Callithrix jacchus: one gene and its partners. The protein of the gene in region 1 purifies or fractionates together with the protein of each later gene. This does not show direct contact. Links are inferred from orthologs where the notes say so. Each region holds a gene or a part of one and is shown on either strand. Other genes may lie near its edges.

Region 1 (4,129 bases):
CCTTGACCCTTTGCAAGACTCCCTACTCTATTATGTTCCAGGTACCACAACTCTAGAATTTGTGTGTGTGTATCATTGTATGTGTTTTCTTTGGTGAGTGTAGGAGTTTAAGTCTTAGGTCTGCAACTCTTTTGCGCTGAGACAAAAGAGGTTCAGGTAGGAGGAATGAAAAGGGAAGAGGCAGCAGGAATTGGCATCTTCAAAAGGATCAGAGGGCACAGCTACTGGGCGGTGAGACCGTCAATCTGTCAGTCTGCGACGCTGAACCCCCGGACTGCGAACTGCTTATCTCTCCGTTTCCAGCTTATAGACCGGTAGGAAATGGTGGAGAATGAGAGAGGGAGATTAGGAGGACAAACCGGCCTCCTGCAGAGCTGACATTTAGACCCAGAGTGGGAGTTGCGGGGAAGGGGGTTCCCAAGGACAGCTCCCCCGACTCCCCGGGCACACAGACACTTTCTATTACTCCTTGGGAGCAGAGGTTACCCGTCGGAGGGGGCAGATAGGGAGAGCTGCTGCCCATGAGTAACTCCCCTCTTCGAGTCCATTCTGGCCCTGGGTACTATTATTATCACAACTTTCCAGATAAGGACACGGAGCACAGAGCTGTTCAGTAACTTGCCCAAGGTCACATGGTTAAGTCCCGTAACCTCAGTTTCCTTATCTGCAAAGCAGCCTTAATAATGGGAACTACCTCATAGAATTGTGGTTTACAACGATGCCTGTCACACACTTGCTATCATTACCATTCCCTGCCCCCACTAAGACTCCTTTCACCCAGAATATTGCGGCAAAATATTAATAGCTAACATTCGGCTAGTGCTTCCTGTGTACCACCGTACTGAATACTAACTCGAAAAATCCTCACAACATTTAGCATCGTCACCACGCCTATTTTGGCCGCCACCAGCCAACGTCCAGTGGCAACCCCGCTCTCGGCCCATCCACAACTAGCCCGCCCGCGCTACGTCATCACGGCGCGTCGCGCAGGAAGTCCCGAGGAAGAGGGAAGAAGCCCTTCCTAATTCCCACGCTTCCTTGCTTGCTCTCGCGACACCGCTGGCCTGGAGGGCTCCTAAGTGACTGGACGGGGACAGAGGGGCGGCGGCTATGGCATACAGGATGACAGCGATGGTAATCGAGGGAGTGGAGAGCTTGCGCCGCAGCCCGGTCGCGAATCAACGGCGCGCGCCTTTTACGTAGGCACAGTACAGTGACGTAGCACGCCGACGCACCATCCCGCCTTCTGTGAGATCGCGAGAGGTGTGGCTCGCGCGAGGGGCGCGGCCTTGAGGCACGTTCCCTTCCGAAGGCGGGATCTGGGCGGGCAGTCGAGAGACCAGGCCCAATGGAAAAGAAAGGCCCGGACACTCGCGTCCCCACGGGTCGCCAGGAACTTGGCGGAGCGAGCCAAGGGCGGAGTTTGAGAAAGGGGTTGCGCCCGGTGAGTGGAGCGGCGAGGACTGGCCGCGTCGACAGCGGAGGCGGGAAGGGGGTGGAGGCCGACTGAAGGCGCTCAGGACTGGCTGAAGGGGCTTAGCGAAACGTTAGCGGTCCGGTCCGGGCAGGGGGTGGAGCTGGTGAAGGAACGGGGCAGTCCCCTAAGGAGCGGGGCTGGTTGAAACGCTAGGGGCGGGATCTGGCAGAGTGGAAGGTACCGGTCCGGCCCGATAAGGGGTGGAGTTAAGTGAATCGTTAAGGGTGGAGTTGAGGCCGGGGCCGGGGCCGGGGCGGGCTGAGTGAAAGGGTGGGTGATTATCCTGGGAGATAGGCCGAAAGGGCAGGTACGTGAAGGAATGGGGTCCGGGCCGGGCTTAGAGGGTCTGGGAAGGGCTTGGGAGAGTGGAAGGGGTGGTGATTGGTTGGAAAGGGTGGGCCCTAAAAGGGATTGAGTGAGCCAGGGGGCTCATTGCTCAGTGAAAGGGCAAGACCGGAGAAAGAATCATGTAAAGGGGTGGAGTCTAGCGGACCGGGCGGGTCCAGGTAGCATGGCCACCTGAGTGGAGGGAGAAGGCCTGAGAGAGGCGGAGTTTGGAAGGCTGTGGAGAAAAAGATCGCGTAAGGAATGGAATCTAATAGAGGGGGCGGAGTCCTCTGGGCACACTTGCCCCTTCACACACCCACGCCTCCCCCCCCCAGAACCGAGACAGGGGCAAAGCCTCCTCAGCTATGACCTCAACCGGCCAGGATTCCACCACAACCAGGCAGCGAAGAAGTAGGCAGAACCCCCAGTCGTCTCCTCAGGACTCCAGTGTCACATCGGTGAGGCCCTAGACCCGCCCTGAGGAGGGGAGAGGGAGCAAGCTGGCCATGCCCTGGACTCTGACCCTTCTCTCTGATTCGCAGAAGCGAAACATTAAAAAGGGAGCCGTTCCCCGCTCCATCCCCAATCTAGCGGAGGTAAAGAAGAAAGGCAAAATGAAGAAGCTCGGCCAAGCAATCGAAGAAGACCTAATCGTGGGACTGCAGGGGATGGTGAGCAGGGCCTGGCTGCAATTTAGCCTCGTATGACAATCAAAACCCAAAGGTTCCCCACCGTGGACAGTTTAGGATGTTCCTTCTGACTCAAGGCCTAAAATGGATCTGTGTCTCCTTTTTTTTCCTCTGCAGGATCTGAACCTTGAGGCTGAAGCACTGGCTGGCACTGGCTTGGTGTTGGATGAGCAGCTAAACGAATTCCATTGCCTCTGGGATGACAGGTGAGGCTGGATCTTCCAGGCTGTCTCCAAATCACAAAAATACATACACTTAGAGCCCATTAGCAAGAACAAATCCTTTCTTACCCCAGCCTGGATACTGGAAGCAGGTGATTTGGGGAGGTAGGGCTCACACTTGAAAGGGTTTTTCTATGTAGCAAACAAACATTTATTGAGTGCCTACTGTGTGCCAAGAGTTAGTGATACAAATGTACCAAACAACAGACAGGGTCCCTTCTCTGGGAACTGATTGGGTGAGTAGGAGGGCAGAGTCTTAAACAGTCAACAGCAGTATGAGGTATTTAATGAAGACAAATTTAAGACCAGAGGGATTCAAGGGTGTGTAATAGAGGATCCTAGACTAGTATCCGGGCTTCCCAGGAGCCTTTCTAGAGGAAAAGACCTCCCATTTGCTTTACTTTTCAAAAAGAATCATCAAATCTTTTTGGCTATATGTTAAATTATATTCACCATTTGACCTCAACTCACCACCTCCACTGCCACGATCATCATCACTCACCTAGACTTCCAGAAGCCTCCTCCCTGGTCCCCTGCTTCCAGCCTTGCCTTATTGTCTGTTCACAAAGCAACGTAAAAAAAATATGTGTGAAATGATGTTGTCTTTGTTTAAATACTTTAAGGAGGCCGGGTGTGGTGGCTCACACCTGTAATCCCACCACTTTGGGAGGCCAAGGCAGATGGATTGCCTGCGTTGTCAGGAGTTTAATACCAGTCTGACCAACATGGTGAAATGTCGTCTCTACTAAAAATACAAAAATTAGCTGTGTGTAGTGGCACACACCTGTAGTCCCAGCTACTAGGGAGGGTGAGGCAGGAGATTCGCTTGAACCCAGGAGGCGGAGGTTGCATGAGCAGAAATCACGCTATTGCACTCCAGCCTGGGGCAACAAGAGCAAAACTCTGTCTCAAAAAAAAACTTTAAGGGCAAACTGTTACCCTCAAGGTAAAGTCCATATTCTTCATCCTGGCCTCAAAGGTTCCACATGATCTGGCTCCACCTCACTTTGTGACTTCATCAGCCAATCCTCCTCACCGACACTTGTCCCCTTATTCTTCCAATATGCCAGGCACCCTCTTGTCTCTAGTCTGTACCCTGGCCAACCCCTTTCCCAGAGACTCCTTTCTATCTTCTTCTCTTCCAGTTACCTTTCACATCCCAATGAGACTTTCTCAAAGAGGATTTTGCCTGGCCAAACCCTACCCCAATACCTGATCTTATTTTCCTAGCCCATGGCATTGTGTGCTAATTGTCATACTTGTGTGTTGACCAATTGATATCTATATCCCTTATTCCAACCTAAGACTAACTTATTATGGCAAAAGACTTCTTTTATGGAATACCTATTTAATGTCTATTGAGGAGCAGGGGATACAGCAGTAAACAAAAGAAACAAAAGCCCATGCTTTCAGGG
Region 2 (3,500 bases), on another chromosome or scaffold:
TATTCAGCAAATTGCTGATCCAAAATTATAACTTAGTAAGGAGAAACAGTCTTGAAACTGACTTGTCTCTGGTGTTTTCAACATTTGCATAATACCTGTTCGCCAAGCTGGCTGCCTGGTCTTAATGGGCATAAAGACACAGCTCTTTCCCCCAGGAAACTCTAAGCAACCTCAGCCAAGGGGTGCACTGATTATGAACAATGATAAAGACTTAAGGTCTGTTGCCATAATATAACATAAAAATTCAGTGTAAGTTACTTAATTACAATTACTTTATATCAATGAAAGATGTTTTCAAGTGTGTGCTTGTGGTGGTTTTAGCAAAAAGGAAGGAGGGGTCTTCTCAACTCGGTAGTTGGGGAAAATGCAGGAAATGTGTCGGCCTCCGTTGCCTTTTCCCCTGAGGAAAGCCTCTGTTAGGGCAGAAGCCTTCAACGGTGCCTGCTGTGCTCTAACCACAGGTCGTAGCAGAGACTAGCTCTCTAGGCAAGAGGAACTACCGTAGGGGTAGCCTCGGTCACAAGTATAACACTATTTTCTCAAGAGAAGGACATCATCATTACTTGACGTGTACATCTCTGTTTTATTGTTGCTTTAAAGTTGGCCCTGTTCTGTTTGCAAGTATTAACTCAGTCTACTTAAGATACAACATTTTTACTTTCATGATTCTGTTTTATAGATAATCTAAGATTTCAGACATTTCAAGTGCTAGGTTTCCCTAGTTGTTTTTCTTGGCTCAAAAATGAATTTAAGGAGCAATCTATTCAAATGTTTCAAAGCTTTCAAAAAGGCAGCATCCTCTGGGTAACTCATGTTGTGGGAATTTCACTTCCCATTAAGTGCTGCACTTCATTTAGATAAGATTGACTTTTCCCCGAGTTATTACTTATCTTTCTCATTCTGTTCTGAACTTGTAAAATTGTAACGTATTCTGTAAAAGTGGTGCATTCTAAGACGACCTTAGTTCATGCCAGACTACAGTGGTTTCTTGAGTACATTTATAATGGAAGGAAATAGTAAATTCCAGAGTTAACAAAAATAAAGGATGTAATTATTTTCCCATCTAAGTGCACAGTCCCCTTTGCGGTCCATGGGTCAGTCACAGGTTAAGAATCTCTGCCCCAGCCTGTTGAAAATGCAGGCGGAGACGACATTCCCTTCTAGAAGATTCAGAACATCATTTGATTTATATCTTTGAGTAACATTGTATCATGTGGCCTGCTTTGGTTGCGGTAATTGTGAAACCAGTGAAGTTTGTTTTGTGGTGATTTCATCAGGGTCAACAGTTGTCACCGACAAATGGCGGAGATCGCTGTGAATGCCGTCCTCACTGTAGCAGACATGGAGCGCAGAGATGTGGACTTTGAGCTTATCAAAGTAGAAGGCAAAGTGGGTGGCAGGCTGGAGGACACTAAGCTGATTAAGGGCGTGATCGTAGACAAGGATTTCAGTCACCCGCAGATGCCGAAAGTAAGCCGTTGGGTTTCAGAGTTTCACACTGTTGGTTAACTCATAATTTCACCAATTAAAATGTCCTTATGTTTCCCCATAGAAAGTGGAAGATGCTAAGATTGCAATTCTCACATGTCCATTCGAACCACCCAAACCAAAAACGAAGCATAAGCTGGATGTGACCTCTGTAGAAGATTATAAAGCCCTTCAGAAATATGAAAAGGAGAAATTTGAAGAGATGATTCAACAGGTAAGTGTTACCGGAGTCCTCAGTGGAATTTAAACTCCCAGAGGATACAGTTAGTTAGGTGTGGTTCGTAAATACGCGTAGTCTTCAGTTCTAAAACATACACAAGAACAAACCAGATGGCATAGAAAGGTACAAACAGAGAAGAATTCTAATTTTGTCTTAAAATGGTAGCGTGTTCAAGGCCCTGAAAGAAGTGATCCTGTTACCTAAAGCCATGCTCTCGATTGTACGTTATTACACTTGCTCTCCTGGACAAGTGTGACGTAGCCTACCTTCCCTTTAAGATTTCTGACTATACCTTTTAGGCAAGAGTTAATGAGTAACTGGAATTAAACCAGAATGCACTTATAGGAATCCCGTTCTTCACTCAGATAAATCTAGTTTGGGTTCACGAATACCTTAGCATAGGTGTGCTTGCTCTCTGATGTAGCAGCTCTTCTTTGGGGACTCTGTCGTTGGGAGCTGAAAACACAGGTACTCAAGAATACAGGAGCATGGGTTGGTTAGAGCATTATTTACCATAGCAAACCAACTAGAGGCTATTTTCATGTCTGTTCTTGGGAGAGTCATTGTATTTATCTGCTCATTCATGATGTGGTTTTTTGTGCCTTCAACATATCAAGCTCTGTTGTAGGCACTAAAGGTTCAGCAGTGAATGAAGCCAAGCTTGTGCTCTTGAGGCACAGATAAGGGAAAGGTGGGTACAGCTCTGTTACAGATGCTGCTCAGAGACATGACCTGTAGGGAGAAGCTAACATTGAGTGAAGCAGCACCCCCAGGGGAGAACATTTCAGGCTAAGTACAGATGGGGATGCTCTTGAGGCAGGAACGTGGTTGGCTGGTAGAAGGAACAGCCAGCCTCAGGGACTAGAGCATGCTGGCAGGAGCTTGTACATACAAGTCCATTATCTGGGCAGGTGGGCCCGTCGGCATGAAAATTGTGGCTCATCTGCACCAGGGGGTCAGAGATATACTGAGAGGCCGGGAATGTTACTGGATCACACTGGTGGGGCGCAGGTTGCTGAGAATGAGAAAGGAATGGTGCTGGGGCTAGATGCTAAAATGTTAATGAGAGGCAGGGACTCGAGAACATTGAAGGTGCCTGAGGAGTAAGAAGGAGCCCTCTCCTGTTTTGAGCACGTGAGAGGGAAAGCAGCTGCCATCTGAGGATGGTTGCAGGGCAGGTTGGTTTTCAGGGGTTGTGACAGAAGCATTGTATAAGGAGGCTGCTCTCCTGGACTGAGCTCCAGAGGATCAGGGAAGGAAGAAAGGGAGAGCTAGGCCGTAGCGGATGGTCTGGGAGGCCTGAAGGAGACAGGTAAGCGGGAGTTGTGGGGCACGGTGCAGCCATCTTAGGTAAGCACCAGCGGTGGGGTGGGCAACCTGATGGCTGCCTTCCTGATTGGGAAAAGTCACTTTGCCATTTGCAGGTTGGGGTGACAGTGCTTCTTACTGGAAGCAGAGTTGCTTCTGTGGGCCCCTGAATTAGTTGGTATTTATGAATCCAACTGAAGATTGTCCACTCAGACAAGTTGCAAGTGGTTCATAACATTGTTTAAAACATACTCAGATGAAAGTTCTCCACAGGTGTTTGTGACAGGGCAGAGCCTTTTCCCCATGGTTGGGAGAGGGTATTAGCTTTGTTTGTTGACAAGTCTGTTGGTTTTTTGCGTCACTGTAACAATAGGGTTCAGTATGAATTACTGATTGTGGTTTTTAAAGCATAGTTTTAAAAATGAGGTGATCGCCGTTGATAATACATTTAGAATTTGGAACTGACAGAAAGAGGACACTTGTC
Region 3 (3,500 bases), on another chromosome or scaffold:
ACCAGTTCAGTAAGGTCAACCTCATCACAATAACCAAAATGAGGGATCTTCAGGGCTGCAGACATAGTCTTGACCATTGCTTTCTGAAATCCTGAAAGCATTCAATTGTTATTCATTTATTTAAATTCTTAAATCCCGTCATTATTATTTTTTTTTATTTAAGAAACTAAAGTCGTTGAACCCAGGAGGCAGAGACTGCAGTGAGCAGAGGTCACGCCACTGCACTCCAGCCTGGGTGACAAAGCCAGATTCAATCTCAAAAAAAAAAAAAAAGAAAGAAAAACAAAAGAAAAGCTAAAATGGAAGGTTCTCTAATGTTCTTTCCTTTCTCAGTTAAACCTTTCCTCACAACACTCTCTTCATTACATTACATTACATTATATTGGAAGTCACTAATTTTAAAGCTGGAACATTGACTGCATCATGACACTCAGTCGCAAATGCAATAATGTAGCAGGTAACTGCTTTAAATGCTGTGTTATATAAAAAATGCAAAAGAATGCAAGCCATATATTTCCCTAACAGCTTTCCTGCAAAGCCACTCTTCTGGAAGTTAATCATTCCAAGAGTTTATAAATAAATTAAAACTAGTTGTTTTGAAAGCTAACTACAAATAGTGAATGTTTAAAATATCCTGCATGTGTCTTCCAACAGCAACTGTCAGTATACGAAGAAACCTGCTAATGTATTACCTTCAGAAAAACAGTACATATACATTGGGAGTGTTTCCTGGAAAAACTATATTATTTTACTATTAAAAAATTATATACTGACTGAAGTTGAACTTTCCCTTAAGTCTTCAAAACACCATATTATATACATTTATCTACTGAGATAGATTCCCCCAAAACAAAATAACTACCCTTTATTATTATTATTATTATCATTACCTTTTATGGGCTCTGTTTTGTCTTTGCCTGTGAATACCGGAGGTTTTGATACAGGTATGGGAATAGTCATGTCTTTTGGCTTTGGTGGAGGTGGCATAATTTCAGCTTTCGGTGAAGGAGGTAATATAGCTCCTGTCTGCTTTTCCAAATAGTTGAGGATATCTTCTTTAAGTATTCTGCCATCTTTTCCTGAGCCAACAACTTCACTCAGCTTAATCTAAAAAATGATATATTTTAATGCCAAAAATACAACTACTTAAAAACATTATTAAAGTTTCAAAATGGAATCTGATCAACTGAAAATAATATGCATATATATATATCTAACAAATTAGTAAACGGAAATAACCTTTTCATTTTCTACTTAAGTACTCATTTATTACTTTTGTATACACTGTTTTATGTACATGTGGTAACCATCAGATACCCATATTATATATAATCTAGAGCTATTTATGAAAACTTACTTAAAAAAATTTTTTTTGTAGAGACAGAATCTCACTGTTGCCCTGGCTGGTCTTGAACAACAAGCTTCAAGCCATTCTCCCACCTCAGCCTCCAAAAAGTGCTGGGATTACAGGCGTGAGCCAATACGCCCAGCTGAAAACTTATATTTTTATACTCAAGTATTTTAAAATCTCTTGCATAATTCTTACTCAAACATTTCTATTCCTAGGGACTGTATAAGAAGAGGGAGAACTGAGAATTTAAGGAGAAACTAAAGGCTGTAACAATATTAGACCAATGTCTCTGATGTTAAAACCAATGTCTCTGATGGTTAAAAACGTAACAGCTTAAATAATCACAATACAAAAGCTCTCTCAAATTAGTTATTTTTCTGGTAGTTGGTTTGGAAAGATCAATACGAAACACTTAATTCTATTTAAATACAAATAAACATAAAAGCTTGGAATGATCTCTCCATACATAGCATGCATTAATTTCCTAGGGATCGGCCCCACTTCATTTGTATTAGTGCATCTCTAAGGATATCTAAAATAATAAAGAACTTCACTAAGGCAAATGCTAAGTTTGCAACAAATGGACTCTGAAAATTTAAACAAATAATTTTTAGGCAGTTACAAGCAACTGTAAATGCCACTGGTTCTTAATTTTAAACAAACTCAATTCATAAATATGCAAAATGAAAGAAAAAGGATGATTTCTGATATACCTAAATCTTTTTTTTTTTTTTTTTTTTTTTTTTTTTCATCAACTGCACAGTTTATTGATTGGGATGACTTGATCTCAAGGCAACTGGGACAGCAAGTTAGAATTGGTGTGGAGTAAAATTTCAGTTCAGTTGAAAAAATAAGGTTTCACAGTTTGAACCATCAGTCAAAGAAGGAACTGCCTGGTGAAGTGGTGCGAATTCCAGCACGTAGAGAATTTCAGGTTGAGTGCAAATACTACTTCAGAGAAATGTGAGAGCCTCAAATTCTTCCAGCTAAGTGGTGGTCAATCTTGGCTGCACCTCAGAATCATCGAGGAGAGATTTGAAAGCTCTTTCCATTCTCAAGCCACAGTGTTTGTTGATGAAATCAAAATTTCTGGGTGTGCGACTTAAGGTATCAGAATTTTTTTTTTTTTTGAGACAGAGTCTTGCTCTGTCGCCAGGCGCCAGGCTGGAGTGCAGTGGCACATCTCGGCTCACTGCAACCTCTGTCTCCTAGGTTCAAGCGACTTTTTTTTTTTTTTTTAAATTTTTTATTGGATTATAGGTTTTGGGGTACATGAGCAGAGCATGCAAGACAGTTGCGTAGGTACACACATGGCAGTGTGCTTTCTTTTCTTCTCCCCTTCACCCACATTTGGCTTTTCTCCCCAGGCTATCCCTCCCCACCTCCCCCTCCCACTGGCCCTCCCCTTTTCCCCCCAACAGACCCCAGTGTTTAGTACTCCCCTTTCTGTGTCCATGTGTTCTCATTTTTCATCACCCACCTATGAGTGAGAATATGCTGTGTTTCATTTTCTGTTCTTGTGTCAGTTTGCTGAGGATGATATTCTCCAGATTCATCCATGTCCCTACAAACGACACAAACTCATCATTTCTGATTGCTGCATAATATTCCATGGTGTATATGTGCCACATTTTTCCAATCCAGTCTATTATCAATGGGCATTTGGGTTGATTCCAGGTCTTTGCTATTGTAAACAGTGCTGCAATGAACATTCGTGTACATGTGTCCTTATAGTAGAAGGATTTATAATCTTTTGGATATATACCCAGTAATGGGATTGCTGGGTCAAATGGAATTTCTATTTCTAAGGAATCGCCACACCGTCTTCCACAATGGTTGAACTAATTTACACTCCCACCAACAGTGTAAAAGTGTTCCTTTTTCTCCACATCCTCTCCAGCATCTGTTGTCTCCAGATTTTTTAATGATCGCCATTCTAACTGGCGTGAGATGGTATCTCAATGTGGTTTTGATTTGCATCTCTCTGATGATCAGTGACGATGAGCAATTTTTCATATGATTGTTGGCCTCATATATGTCTTCTTTCGTAAAGTATCTGTTCAAATCCTTTGCCCACTTTTGAATTGGCTTGTTTGTTTTTTTCCTGTAAATCTGTTTGAGTTCTTTGTAAATTCTGGATATCAGCCCT
Region 4 (2,696 bases), on another chromosome or scaffold:
CATGGTGAAACCTGTCTACTAAAAACTCAAAAATGAAACCCATCTACTAAAAACACCAGCAGGTGTGGTGGCAGGTGCCTGTAATCCCAGCTACTCAGGAGGCTGAGGCAGAATTGCTTGAACCCAGAAGACGGAGATTGCAGTGATCCAGTATCTTACCACTGCACTCCAGCCTGGGCGATAGAGCAAAACTCCCTCTCAATAATGGGGAAAAAAAGATGTTTTAATTAATATCTTTTGTGATGAGAGGCCAATTTAAGACTGAAATTGACTGGATTGCTTTATACCTATTAACAAATCAAGCATTACACTATTTTGCCATGAAATCTGCAATTATAAAGTGCCTCTAAACTTTAACAGTTACAACTTATAATTAGTAAAATAGCCACTTGTCCAGCACACCCTTCCCACAATCTGTCTTTAAGTATCCAATTAATGATGCAAATACCCCATCCTCAACCTGGTTAACAAAGAATGCTCACTCAACATTAGTAGTATTAGATAAAATTGTTTCGAGATAGGGTCTCATTTTGCCACCCAGGTTGAAGTACAGTGATACAATCTTGGTTCACTGCAGCCTTGACCTCCTAGGCTCAAGCAATCCTCCCACCTCAACCTTGAGAAGAACAATTGCACTACAGGTGCATGTCACCGTACCAGGCTAAGTTTTGTACTTTTTGTCGAGATGGAGTTTTGCCATGTTGCCCAGGCTGGTCTTGAACTCTTGAGCTCAAGTGAACCAACTGTCTAGGCCTCCCAAAGCACTGGGATCATAGGCGTGTGCCAGAGGCATGTAACCAGATCAGTGTATTAATTGCTGGGTAAGGAAAAATATAAACTTCAGATTGCTTGGCATTCAGAAATTTTAATTCTCTCTCTTTTTTTTTTTTTTTTTAAAAAAGACAGGGTTTCACTATCTTTTCTAAGGCCGGGTTGCCCAGGCTGTTCTCAAGCTCCCAGGCTCAAGATATCCTCCTGCCTCAGCCTCCCAAAATGCAGGGATTACAGGCATGAGCTACCATACCTGGCTGAAATTTTTACATTTTTTATTTTAAAAATCAGAGTTTAGTAAGCCAGTTGTTCTTCTCAAATATAAAGTACTTTACAGCTTACCTTAAATTCAATGATTAGGCGACCCTTTTCATATGGTCTACGATAAATTGGCATGCCTTCATTTAGTACACACTTGATATCTCCATGCTTGACAATCTGACCTAAAAACATTGAAGCCAAGTTCTTCTTTAAGTATGGTCACATTTTTATGAAGCAGAGAAAATAAAGAACAGAGAGCATTGTCCTAGCTCACTGGCAGAAGTAAAACTTAGGTGGCAAAACAATCCTGTTACTTTTCATGTATGGGTTTTTTAAGGGCAGACAAGAGAGCCAAGACCTTATAACTTCATCTCAGCCCAGGAAATGGTACGTAACCAAGGAAGAAAAACAATGCGTTTCCCTCTACTGTGTTATCAGGAGACAAGGAAAATACTAGAATAGAAAAGAGAAGCTTAAGCTTGCCTAGTTACCATACCTGGATGAGAGGTGATGACTATGGTTCGGTTGTCAAGAGTAGATATCGGCTTTTGGAAGCCACACAGTGCTTCAACCAGCTGTATGTCCATACACATGAAAAGGTCTTCTCCTCGTCTGCATAAAATATGACACATATTTACATTTTTCAAATCACCAATCAGTAGATGTACCAAAGCAGGCTATTGTTTATTGGTTTAATAAAAGCAAGGGTGTCTTTTGTAAAGATTCTCTTTTCTTCCCCCATTGTAAAAATCAAACAGAGCAGAGATATGGGAATAGCACACATGTAGAACTTGCCAGCCCTGTTTCCTAGATAAGGATTCAAAGTCATTCCACACACTCTAGGCAGCCTTTACCATTTACCATCCCTGAATTGTTTCATTACCTAATTTTTAATCTAGTTTCTCAGAGGGAAAAAAATAACAAAACTCACAAGAGTGAGGCTTAGGTTGGGCGGTGTAGTTCACACCTGTCATCTCAGCACTTTGGGAGGCTGAGGCGAGTCAATCACCTAAGGTTGGGAGTTCAAGACCAGCCTGGTCGACATGTTGAAACCCCTTTCTACTAAAAATACAAAAAAAATTAGCCATGTGTGGTGGCACACACCTGTGATCCCAGCTACTCAGGAGGCTGAGGCAGGAGAATCACTTGAACCTGGAGGCGGAGCTTGCAGTGAGCTGAGATTGTGCCACTGCACTCCAGCCTGGGCAGGGTCCTAGATAATTTAGACTCCATGAAATTAAATAAGGGGGTTATATGACCAATTTATTTTTAATTGACTTTAAGAATTTCCTCATTGATGTACCTGAAATACAGTTCCTGGCACACTGTGAGTGAATACAGCCTTTCATATTTAACAGCCCACTTCCTCCTCATGCTTAGACTTTCCTCTTTTCCAGCCCACATTAATAAAATATCTTTAATCTTTAATACTCTTCTCAAATGACAACATCAAAATCCTAAGCTTGACAACCCTTTCCATTATCTTCAGACATTTGTGAAATACTTTGTTTTTTTGAGACTAAGTTTCACTCTTGTTGCCCAGGCTGGGGGTGCAATGGTGCAATCTGGACTTACTACAACCTCTGCCTCCCTGGTTCAAGTGATTCTCCTGCCTCAACCTCCCAAGTAGCTGGGATTATAGGTGCCCACCATCACGCCTGGCT
Region 5 (2,294 bases), on another chromosome or scaffold:
CAGACCCAAGCCTGGAGTTAAATTGAGACCTTGTCTGTCTGAACTGATACATGCCTAACATAGCTTACCAACTGGCTTTTTCTTCATCTAAAAATAAGCCATCAAACAAATATACTTTAGGATTTATAAATGACAAATCAAGAATTTATCTTATTTTGTTTTAATATATGAATAATTTATATATTATTTTATAAATTTAATATAACTTAAAAAATTTTAGTAGTTAACCTAAAACAAGACCTTGAAATGTATCAGTGCTGTTCGAAGAATCTAGCAATGAAAATAGGTAGAGAAGTTAAATAAAAGATTATTGACAACAACAGTTTGGTGTATTTAAGTAATAAAAGCAAGTCATATGAATAAAAGCCCTTGTCTCCTCCTCAGTGGCTAAGGCAAGGGGAAAATGTCATTGTCATTGTGTTGCTGCTGATTATAGCTCCTTTTAAATTTGTTTTCATACTATTGAAAACTTACCCACATTACACAGGAAAATCTCACAATTCAGCAGTGCAAAAATTTTATTTGTTTCCCCTCCCCACCACTTTACACATCTAAAATTTTACTTAATCCAAAGTATTCTTTTCTTAATCATCTGGTATCAGTCATGTCAAATGTGAGGAAATAAAAACACTAATCAATTACAAATTTCAGTCCCCCTTCCCCATCGCTACAGCAAATTTAGGATAAATCTACAGCATTCACTTACTTTTGCTGGTTCTGATACTGAGGAATACTTTTTTATTTGAGAATCAACACCTAAAGACTTGGCTAATTGTACAGCATTTGAATCATCACTGATAAGTGTTCCAAGAGCCACAAGAAGTCTAAAAGTGGCTTCTAGGTCTTGTACTACTTCCAAAATTGTGCTAATTAGTGACAAACATTGAGCTTTCCCTTCAATGTTATGGTCTTTATGAAAACAAACAGAATAGTTCAGGGTCAATGTAGCCAGAGCAATGTGAATGTTCTTATTGCTCCCTGATTTCAGTTTTATTGCATGGGACATCAGTGATTCCCTCTGGGACATCATGAGGTTTTGTCCTGCCTGGCCAATAAAACAATTGCAAAAAGTCCTGAGAGCAAGCAGCTGGTTTGCTGGCTTTCCTTTAGGGTTCAGAAGATTGATGAGATGACTGCTGAACTGAGCTCCTTCTTTTTCACTGCAGAAGTTCTCATTCACGCTGGGGTGTTTAATTGACAACCGAAGAATGTCAAGTGCAGGAAAGACAATATCTATTTTAAAAAAATGTCATTAATGTTTATGGAAATAAAGACCGTTTCTTTTGACTATCAACTTTTAAGGATTTTTTTACCACTACAAAATTAACCATTTTCGAAAATGTGAAAAATTATGTGTATGCTTTAAAAAATGAAAAATATATATATATATTTTTTTGAGACGGAGTCTCGCAATGTTGCCCAGGCTGGAGTGCAATTGCACGATCTCAGCTCACTGCAACCTCCGCCTCCTGGATACACACAATTCTCCTGCCTCAGCCTCCCAAGTAGCTGAGATTGCAGACACAGACCACCACACATGGATAATTTTTTGAATATTTAGTAGAGACAGAGTTTCACTATGTTAGCCAGACTGGTCTTGAACTCCTGACCTCAAGTGATCCGCTTGCCTTGGCCTCCCAAAGTGCTGGTATTACAGGTGTGAGCCACTGCGCCTGGCCAACTTCTCAGATTTATATAAGCTAGATTTATTACTGTAAGATCATATTCACTTTAAAAATAAGGTAACTCTCTCGGGTTATCAAATAGCCTGACACACTGAGTATTCAAAAATGAATGGAAGGCCAGGCACGGTGGCTCATGCCTATAATCCCAGCACTTTGGGAGGCTGAGGTGGGTGGATCACGAGGTCAAGAGATCGAGACCATCCTGGTCAACATGCTAAAAACCCCGTCTCTACTAAAAATACAAAAAATTAGCTGGGCATGATGGCGCGTGCCTGTAATCCCAGCAACTCAGGAGGCTGAGGCAGGAGAATTGCCTGAACCCAGGACGCAGAGGTTGCAGTGAGCCGAGATCGTGCCATTGCACTCCAGCCTGGGTAACAAGAGCGAAAGAAAGTCCATCTCAAAAAAAAAAAAAGAATGGAAAGAATGGAGTGCAGACCTTGCTTTTTAAAATTCTGTAAGACCAAACAGTTAAACAGAGAGTTGGTTTTTTTTTCTAATTATACTTTAAGATCTGGGGTACATGTACAGAACATGCAGGATTGTTACATAGATATACATGGCGGTTTGCTGCATCAATCACCCCATCATATACATTAGATATTTCTC
Region 6 (4,205 bases), on another chromosome or scaffold:
AGGCTTAGGCAAACACATCATTATCACACGTACTAAAATGCACCCATAGCCTATATTAATAACGGATTAATAACTGCATCTTGCTGTACATTTTTATGATCTTGATTTTCAGGTTATGGATGAACAAATAATTCATTTTGTCCATGTGATTGACTTTATTATTTTTATATATAATTATGTAAGAGTTATGTTGCCCTTGTCTAGGTTCTGCAGACATTTCATTAAATTTTGTTCACTTTGATTTTTCCAGTTTCCTTTCCTTATTTTGGGGCTACCGTCTCTCAAGTCTCAAATGTTTTCATGGGCCCAAGAGGATATGACAGCGCTGCAAGAATCCAGCTTTACATTCCTAAGAACCTGTCACAGCCCCTCTCACGTAGGGAGCTCTGATTAACGAATGCAGGAGCAAAGGAACGAGTGAATGAATATGAATAAAGTTTCTTCCAAATCTTCTCTCCAAGGTCGGTTCTCCTCATTCTTTTGGAATCTCAGCCTTGCCTGGAGATTGGGCAGGAGAGCCTCTCGCCCCACTAACACCAAAACTGCGGCCTTGGAGGACAGTATCCGGTGCCCGGCCGACCCTGCAGAGTCAGCCCGGGGCCCGGGTCGGGACAAGTGGCCGCAGCGGTGCGCGGCCAGAGCCCGGGCAAGGCCTGTGCGCATGGGCGGAGCGGTGCCCTCCCCCGCGTTCCCTTCCCCTCTGCAGGTGAGTCGCAGCGACGCGGCCCCCACCCCGCGCAGCCCTGGGGGTGACGTCAGGCCTCTGTACCGCGCTCCGCCCCGCCCCTGCAGGCAGCGCAGGGGGCCCACGATTCCACGGTGGAACCCCGTCCTGTTGCGGTAGATGCCAGACGCCGCAAGCAAAGGCGGCGACAGGGCGCTGGAGTGTGCTGCGAAGGCTGCCCGACGCTAGAACGAGGAGCGTGCAGTCAGAGCGCGGAGCTCCTGCTGCGGACCACCTGCCCTGCGGTTCGCACAGCGGTGTCAGCGCAGCGCGCCTACAGCCGCAGGGTCCGCACCCGCCGCCTCCGGGGATCGCCGGGCGCCCAGCCAGCCTCAGCTGTCCATCTACGCACGAGCCAGCCAATCGCGCGCCACTGCCCCGGCCGCACCTCCCGGAGCCTATGACGGGCGTAAGAGCCAGCCTATGAGATTGGGGCCTTTGTGGACAGGACTAGGAGCGGGAGCCAATGAGCATCATTCCAGGTGGGTGGAGGGAGCCTGGCTCGGGAAGGTAGCTTCGTTCGGGTTGCTAACGTCTTCCCTTGGAGATGGGCGCGCAAACCGACCAGTGGGTCTGGGGGCGGCGGTGATGGGCGTGGAGCTGGCCCAATGAGGGTGGGGGTGGGTGGGGCAGCCTCGAGCCGCAGTGCTAAAGGAGCCCGGCGGAGGCAGCGGTGGGTTTGGGACTGAGGTGCTGGATCAGTGGTCGCTGCTGGGGACGTGCGCCGGCGCCACCATCTTCGGCTGAAGGTGAGAGGTGCGGCTGCCCGAGTCCGAGTGCACCGCCCAGGGTGCGGGGACAGTTTGTGGAGGGAGTAATGGATCCCGGGCTGAAGGGCCCGGGCGGTTCTGGAGGGCAGGAACGAGGCCGAAGCGGTAGCTGGGGAAGACAGAGGGACTTCTCAGCTGTAGGATTTGTGCTGCGGTAACCTTAATTTCGTTTGAGCAGGGTCCTGGGGGGGGGGCAGTGGGACCCCAGTGGGTGGAGATGGAGAGACTCCTGGAGGGGCGGGGAATGAGGTCCTTGTGAGACCCCTACTGGGATCAGGGCCTGGGTGTGCGGGAGGGCGACCCCTGGGGGGCTGGGGATGGAGATCTTGGGGTGGGGACGTGAGGACCAGGTCTTTGGTGTGTGGAATCCCTAGGGGCGCGAAGTCGGGGAGCTAGTGTCCCGGCGGAGGTCTCGACGTGCCCTGCGAGCCAGTGTCTGCTTCCCAGGAGGGGAGGGGATTCTAGTGGGGCTGGAAAGCGCAGTCCGGGCGGTGGGGTCGTGCTGGACAGGAAGGACCCCTGAGTGGGTTGCTGGGTGGGTTAGACCCGGCGGGACCGGGCCCCCCTGAGCGCCAGAGGGGTTCACCGAGGGCTTGGAAGGCGGGCGGCGCGCGCCAGACCGGTAGGTGGAGGCACCGGAGGGCATAAGCTCTGCACGGCCGGGGGAGCGCGCGGCGGGTGAGGGGCTCCGGAGCCGGCCGCGGGCCTGGGGAGGGTCGGACTCCGCAGACGCGGGGGAAGGAGCACGGGATGGGGGCGTCCTGACGCGCCCTCGGTGGAGCGCCTAGTCAGGGGGTGGACGCCCGGCGAGGCCCGGTCGGTTTGGAGCGGGGGCGAGGCGGGAAATGTGGCGGGGCGCGCTGCAGCAGGACGGCCGGGGGGAGGGTCAGTCCTTGCCTCGGGATTCCTTTATTGTGTAAGCGAGCTGGGCATGGCTCGCCGCAGTCTCTTCATTGCCTTCTGCAGTTGGGGGTCACACCCTGATCCCATAAAATCGGACTGGAATTGGGTCGGAGGGAAGTGGAAGCCGCAGAGTCCTGGCATTTGCGGGGTCTTTGTGGGCCTGTGGTGGGCGGATGCGGCCCTGGGACGCTGGAGGCCCCCAGCCAGGCCTGCTTGGAACTAGGGCCTTAGGAAGGAGGTTGGCGACTCGGCGGGCAGACCCGAGCTGGTGAGGTTTGGGTAACGTGGCCTCTGCCGCCAGCCGTTATCTCTGTTTCTTAGGGCCTCTGCAGCTCCCTTCAAGATCACTGCGGTGGATGGAAGGGGGGGGGTGGTGGGCTGGGGTGGGGTAGGGGAAAGCAGGCGGGGTAGATGCAGACTGCAGATGAAACAAAGACTGCTGTTTTCGCTGAATAATGTAATACCAAACATAATACTTTGGCTTTGCTGAGATTTTGTTTTTTAACGTTGAAACTGAGGATTCTTTGAGTCAGGTTTAATTATTCTTGATGGTATCTCACTCTGGAAAACTTTATAATCTTTTTATTGTTTTATCTCCTTCATCAATCTGCCTTTATTAATTCTTCTTTGAGTCCCTTGCTTTTGATGTTTAATTATGCCCAGTCTGTCTCGGGTTCTGGAAAAGTGGCCATTTTATGCATCTCCCTACTTCTGCATCTTAAATTGAGTTCTTCCCCGTCCTTATCTGGAGAAAGCATATGGTATAATTGTACGATATAGCAAGAGCTTTGGCAGCAGAAGGATGTGACCCCTGAGAGCCTGGCTTTTCATTTGGGCTCCTTAGGGAAATTATTACAATGAAGGCAGCCGGGATGGAAGGTGAGATGGAGGAAATTTTGAAGGGCACGTTGTAGGGTGGAAGACTATATGCTTCAGTGGTTTATGTACTTTATCACATGAGGAATTAAAAGTTCCTGGCATAGGATTCTAGTTTTGGAAATATTTAACACAGTATAGAGATATTAATTGGGAGACGGGGCAGGCCATGAGTAGCAATAGTGGCCTTTTGCGTTTGGTTTGTGTTTGTGATCATTGGGTTAAGCAGAATTTTGATAAATTAGCAGACTTGTCCTGCCCTGTAATATAAGTGACCTCGTGGTAGCAGTACACAAATTGGGACAGTTTTGTTTTAGCTCATCTGTTATAGATGGATGCTCTGTCATGGCTAATTTATCCATCCTTCTTGTTTGCCTTTCTATATGCAGGCTGTTCATAAAATTGAATTGTTTGCCTCTGTCCACACTTACAGTAGGGGCTGGGAGGGGGCTGAAAAGTTTGCTGGGTGGCATTTCATTGGAAGTGAAAAATGACCTGGGGGTGGAGCCTCAGGGGTGTGTGTTTCAAACCACTGAGGGATGAGAACTTCGGCTCTGTAGGGGGCTAATTCATACACAGATAGATGATTTCATTATAATTGGGCAGCAATTTCAGATGACACCAGTGTCCCTCTGACTATCTTTATGTCTGCTAACAAAAATATTCCTGTTTATTGTTATTTCCCCTAAGTTATGGGTATCTTTTTCTGTAAAATATAAAACCTTTGCCAGATTATTCATTGGCTAAACCATAATTGATTGGGTTTTTATTTAGTAGAAAGGTAGTATATAGCATTGTACACTACATGCCCTTCAAAATTTCCTCCATGTCACCTTCCATCATTGTAGCATGTACTCTGGAGCTGAACTCTGAATTTAATCCCAGCTCTGCTCCTTATTAGCTGTGTGCCCTTGGGCTGGTGATTGGCTTTC
Region 7 (4,277 bases), on another chromosome or scaffold:
ATCTTCTTTCTCCTTCTCTGTGATGTATTCTCCCCCCACTGCCCCATAATTTACCAGCAATAGCAGTACTACCTCTACCCTCCATTACATTTCAGAACATAGTTCTGTATTAGCACGCCAGGGCATCATCTCCTAACTTCTGCTCTGTCTTTGGATCTAAGTAAGTTGAACACAATGGTGTATCATCTGCTAATATCTGTATAACTCACCAAAAACAAAGTTGTCTGGTCTAAAGATCTGGCCAAAAGGACCTGAGCGAACAGAGTCCATGGTCCCAGGTTCTAGATCCACCAGGATGGCACGAGGAACATATTTGCCACCTACAGAAAATAAAGTAAAAGCTGTGAGATCTGGCAGAGAAGGCTGGGAGACAGCGGGGACCCCAGACCTGTCATTCCAGGTGCTGCCACCAGGTGGCAGCAGACGTCTGGCCCTGACGGTGGCTCACCCAAGGCAAAGGATGACAGATCACCCAAAGAGTAAGGCGTGCCCAAGAATGTAGAGAGACCCAGAGAAGTGGGACACACGGAAGGGAACCCGAGCTGCCCGGGCTCCTGCCCTCACCTGTGGCTTCATTGTAGTACACGGAGATGCGGTCCAGCTGCAGGTCACTGTCCCCGTGGTAGGTGCCAGTGGGGTCGATGCCATGTTCATCACTGATCACCTCCCAGAACTGCCGGGTGAGAGCAAAAAGTACAACAGCTCAAGTCCCAGCCAACTATGTCGAAAGTACCATTTTATCTTTTATTTTTTTTTTGAGACGGAGTATTGCTCTGTCACACAGGCTGGAGCGCAGTGGCAAGATCTTGGCTCACTGCAACCTCTGCCTCCTGGGTTCAAGCGATTCTGCTGCCTCAGCCTCCCAAGTAGCTGAGACTACAGGCACAGGCCACCACGCCCAGTTAATTGTTGTATTTTTAGTTGGCCAGGATGGTCTTGATCTCTTGACCTCGTGATCCTTGGCCTCTCAAAGTGCTGAGATTACAGGCGTGAGCCACCGCACCCGGCCTCTTTTTATAATTTTTAAGGCAGGGTCTTCCTGTTGCCCAGCCTGAGCAGTGGCGCAATCACAGCTCCAATACTACCTGGAGCTGACAAGCTCAACCGATTCTCCTACCTCAGCCTCTGGAGTAGCTAGGACCCCAGACGCGCGCCACCGCGGTGCACAGTGAATTTTTTATTTTTTTTGTAGAGACGGGGTGGGGGGTGGGCGGTCCTCGCTTTGTTGCCAAGTATCCGCCCGCCTCGGCCCCACACCTCCTATTTTAATTCCATATGCCCTCAGGCCATTGTTCTACGGCCTGGCATCCCGTGTGCCTGCCACACCCTTCCCCTAGACACTCGCTCCCCCGGGAAGTCACAGCTTTCTCCGATTGGGGTGAGGTATGTGCAGCGATTCCTAAGCGCTCGGGTGGGCGGAAGGAGGTCGACCACAATAAGATAAGCGCCGCTCTCCTTCCACAGCGCGGGGCACCGCCCCACCGCGCCAAGCACAAAAGGCCGGGGACTGGGGGTCCGAGAAGTGAGTGGCTGCCGCAGTCGACCACCCCCCGCCCTCCATGTGACTGCAGCGCACGCGCAGGTCGAGCCGCCGACAAAAGGCTTCGCGCGTGGGCGGGGCCAGGGGCAAGAATTCCGCGCACGAGGGGCGGGGCCCAAGGTAGCGCGCCCCCGCCGGCGGGCAGGACCGCACTGTCCCCGCGCGCGCCTCGGCCCCGCCCCGCAGGGCCCCGCCCTTCTGCTACAACGTAGCAGCCGCACTTCCTCCCGCCCCTCCCCCGCTACACTGTAACCGCGCGCAAAAAAAAAAGAAAAAAAAATTCCCCTTGGCCTCGAATTTTATTCCTTCGCTAGATTTCCCCCCCTTGATTTAATGCATTCTTTCTCTCCCCTTAAGTCCTGAGGGACTTGGTAAAAAAAAGTCACACACCCCATTTTCTCCCCATATCCCTTCACGCCCTAAAATGATCTCTATTAGGGACCATGAAAGCAAGTAAAATTAATCCCGCTCTTATTCTCCTTCCACTCAGGGACGATCCGCTCTCCGGGGTCGCGGGCGCGCTGGGCTCCCTGGTCTTTTGTGAAGAGTAGCCCGCAGCACAGCCCACCCTGGCGCGTCGCCCCCCCACCCTTGCACTGGAGCTCTCCGCAGCAGCCCGACTGCCTCGCCCTTACCCGCTCGGGTTTGGCCCTTCGAACCCCGCAGGGGGGTTGGGCGGGATGCACATGGGCAAAACCTCGCCCCGCTTTGTCTTCGACCATTTCCGCATCTCTCTCCCTGCCCGGTTCTCGGACCGTTAGAAGCCCTTCTAAGTGAAAAGCTCACAGATCCTCCGTCTTCCCGCCCCCGAAACCCGAAGAGCCCTTTTGCTAGTTTCTCCAAAATGTGTCTGCCAAGAAAAATGATTCCCAGCTTTCCAAAAGCCAATGCTAGCTACAACTGTTATGTATATAAATGTTACAAACTTGGTTGGGAGAGGCAAGGCTTGATTAAGGATGAAGGGCGCAAATGCCCCACAACCATTTTTTCATAAATTACCTGGATTTTTCCTTCTAAAAAGAAATAAAAGAGGTGTAAAATTCTTACCTTGGCACCGATCTGGTTGCCACACTGACCGGCCTGGATGTGCACGATTTCCCTCATGGTTAAAATTTAATTTTTTTGCTCGCCTCAAGGTATGTACGGGGCAAAAAAAAATAGGTAATTATTTTTCTCTGCTGGTCGCAGGCTGCAAGGTTGGAATGCGCCCCAGAGCTGGAGTAGCGAGGTGCAAACGCGGCGGCAGGAAGGTTCTGAGAGGGAGAAAGGAGAGGGGAGGGCGCGGAGGAAAGGCAGGCTGGGCGGGGCGCGCGTGCGCCGGGGCTGGGAGGCGGGAGAATCGGCCCCTCGCGCGGTCGGAAGACAAAGCCTCATCGAGCCTGGCCCTGATTAGTCGATGTCGGTCATGTACCGGGCGTCCATTGGCCTCTGAGGCAGTGGACGACTGCAGTCCTCTCTGGGAGTTGTAGTCACCTATTGTTGTCCACGCTGCAAAATGAAGTGACGAATGGGTGGATACCGGTTTGGTTTTTGTGGGGTTTTCGTTTTGTAAATGAAAAACGACCTTGCGCAAGGTTCCTTTCCTCTGTGCCTGAGGTGTTTGTACAAAAAGTGATCAGTTCTCGGGGATACGGCAGTTCAGAAGTCTGGGGTTCCAGAAGTTGGGTGGTGCGATAGGCACGCCTTGAAAGCTCCCGGCTGCAGTATCTCTGGGGAAGACAGGATTGCTCAGCTCAGCGAAAACTGGGAGAAGTGTGGCACCGAGGTAGTCTGCTACCTCTGGCACTTGGTGACCCAAGGCCTGAACTTCAGTAAGCCTCTGCTCCCTCAAACACTTCAAGGAGGGAATTGCCCTCTTGCTGTTTCTTTGGGAATTTTCGAATCATTGTTTTGAAAGAGAAACAAAATTGCAGCAAGGGCTTTTCAAGATAGAGATATCTGGAGAGTATGTTCAAAGAATAAAATGAATGGTTTAGAGAAACCGATGTCGGGGATTTCTGAAGCCAGAAGTCTCCATCCACATAGGAAATCTGGACCTTAGGGCAGAATTTGAAGACACCTTGGTCTTGTCAGATAGGGAACTGTGTTATGAGATGCCTGATAGATTTTCAATTTTTTTCAGCCTACCTCTCTAGACACGTTGATGAAGTCAGTGGTTTTTCAATTCGCTGATTTCACTGACCAGGTGGCCGCCGTCTCTACAACTCTGCCAGAGATCCAGTATTGAAAAAGGAGAGGTGATGGATGGGGGGAAATTGGATGCGCCCAAGACAGAGTCCATCTGCTTCTTCCCAGAGATATATTCACTTATTTGATAGATACTATGTATCCACCAAATTAGGAACTAGGGATACGAAATGATTAAGAATTAGCTCCCTGTACTCCAGGATGTTGCAGGCTGCTGAGAAGCATACAGTCAATAAAATGTCGTAAGCACTCAGAAATGTGGTATCAAGTCAAAGTCATTGTTAATTCACATTCGATGACACACAGATACATGTATTTCTAAGTTGCCTTCTAAATAAGGGAACATCAACTTGTATAAGCCCCTCTCTACCCACGTAAAATATAACTTATGTTTTAGGGAAGTAACAGTTATTTTGTGGAAGTAGAAATAACCCAAAATACAGAATTCGATAACCTGTTTCAATTTGTCTCTAGGACAAATTAAAGGAACCTAGGGAAGTCCTTTAACTTTGCAGGGATTCAACTCCTCATTTGTAAAATCTGCTTATTT

What was found.
Region 2: the proteins of HDAC6 (region 1) and CCT5 purify together in Homo sapiens (affinity purification with mass spectrometry, with the first as the bait; 3 studies listed by BioGRID). This does not show direct contact. The link is inferred for Callithrix jacchus from reciprocal best matches to the Homo sapiens genes HDAC6 and CCT5.
Region 3: the proteins of HDAC6 (region 1) and DBT purify together in Homo sapiens (affinity purification with mass spectrometry; 3 studies listed by BioGRID and IntAct, with this or other methods). This does not show direct contact. The link is inferred for Callithrix jacchus from reciprocal best matches to the Homo sapiens genes HDAC6 and DBT.
Region 4: the proteins of HDAC6 (region 1) and DNAJA1 purify together in Homo sapiens (affinity purification with mass spectrometry; 4 studies listed by BioGRID and IntAct, with this or other methods). This does not show direct contact. The link is inferred for Callithrix jacchus from reciprocal best matches to the Homo sapiens genes HDAC6 and DNAJA1.
Region 5: the proteins of HDAC6 (region 1) and PLAA purify together in Homo sapiens (affinity purification with mass spectrometry; 4 studies listed by BioGRID and IntAct, with this or other methods). This does not show direct contact. The link is inferred for Callithrix jacchus from reciprocal best matches to the Homo sapiens genes HDAC6 and PLAA.
Region 6: the proteins of HDAC6 (region 1) and MYH10 purify together in Homo sapiens (affinity purification with mass spectrometry; 3 studies listed by BioGRID, with this or other methods). This does not show direct contact. The link is inferred for Callithrix jacchus from reciprocal best matches to the Homo sapiens genes HDAC6 and MYH10.
Region 7: the proteins of HDAC6 (region 1) and TUBB purify together in Homo sapiens (affinity purification with mass spectrometry; 4 studies listed by BioGRID, with this or other methods). This does not show direct contact. The link is inferred for Callithrix jacchus from reciprocal best matches to the Homo sapiens genes HDAC6 and TUBB.

The regions. Positions count from the first base shown.
Region 1 is NC_133524.1:49,380,703-49,384,831, forward strand, and holds the start of HDAC6 (protein deacetylase HDAC6), read left to right. Parts: upstream 1-1,329; 5' UTR 1,330-1,348; coding exon 1,349-1,444; exon of another isoform or gene 1,445-2,058; intron 2,059-2,139; coding exon 2,140-2,262; intron 2,263-2,346; coding exon 2,347-2,475; intron 2,476-2,610; coding exon 2,611-2,699; intron 2,700-4,129.
Region 2 is NC_133503.1:195,394,553-195,398,052, reverse strand, and holds part of CCT5 (T-complex protein 1 subunit epsilon), read left to right. Parts: intron 1-1,277; coding exon 1,278-1,470; intron 1,471-1,552; coding exon 1,553-1,702; intron 1,703-3,500. UniProt on the Homo sapiens protein: Component of the chaperonin-containing T-complex (TRiC), a molecular chaperone complex that assists the folding of actin, tubulin and other proteins upon ATP hydrolysis.
Region 3 is NC_133508.1:145,663,719-145,667,218, reverse strand, and holds part of DBT (lipoamide acyltransferase component of branched-chain alpha-keto acid dehydrogenase complex, mitochondrial), read right to left. Parts: intron 1,108-3,500; coding exon 891-1,107; intron 92-890; coding exon 1-91. UniProt on the Homo sapiens protein: The branched-chain alpha-keto dehydrogenase complex catalyzes the overall conversion of alpha-keto acids to acyl-CoA and CO(2).
Region 4 is NC_133502.1:140,228,480-140,231,175, reverse strand, and holds part of DNAJA1 (dnaJ homolog subfamily A member 1), read right to left. Parts: intron 1,645-2,696; coding exon 1,529-1,644; intron 1,215-1,528; coding exon 1,114-1,214; intron 1-1,113.
Region 5 is NC_133502.1:133,955,892-133,958,185, forward strand, and holds the end of PLAA (phospholipase A-2-activating protein), read right to left. Parts: intron 1,234-2,294; coding exon 668-1,233; 3' UTR 501-667; downstream 1-500. UniProt on the Homo sapiens protein: Plays a role in protein ubiquitination, sorting and degradation through its association with VCP. Involved in ubiquitin-mediated membrane proteins trafficking to late endosomes in an ESCRT-dependent manner, and hence plays a role in synaptic vesicle recycling.
Region 6 is NC_133506.1:75,147,190-75,151,394, reverse strand, and holds the start of MYH10 (myosin-10), read left to right. Parts: upstream 1-1,405; 5' UTR 1,406-1,541; coding exon 1,542-1,648; intron 1,649-1,842; exon of another isoform or gene 1,843-2,116; intron 2,117-2,118; exon of another isoform or gene 2,119-2,310; intron 2,311-2,405; exon of another isoform or gene 2,406-2,665; intron 2,666-4,205. UniProt on the Homo sapiens protein: Cellular myosin that appears to play a role in cytokinesis, cell shape, and specialized functions such as secretion and capping. Involved with LARP6 in the stabilization of type I collagen mRNAs for CO1A1 and CO1A2.
Region 7 is NC_133505.1:35,516,684-35,520,960, reverse strand, and holds the start of TUBB (tubulin beta chain), read right to left. Parts: upstream 2,801-4,277; 5' UTR 2,645-2,800; coding exon 2,588-2,644; intron 674-2,587; coding exon 565-673; intron 321-564; coding exon 210-320; intron 1-209. UniProt on the Homo sapiens protein: Tubulin is the major constituent of microtubules, a cylinder consisting of laterally associated linear protofilaments composed of alpha- and beta-tubulin heterodimers.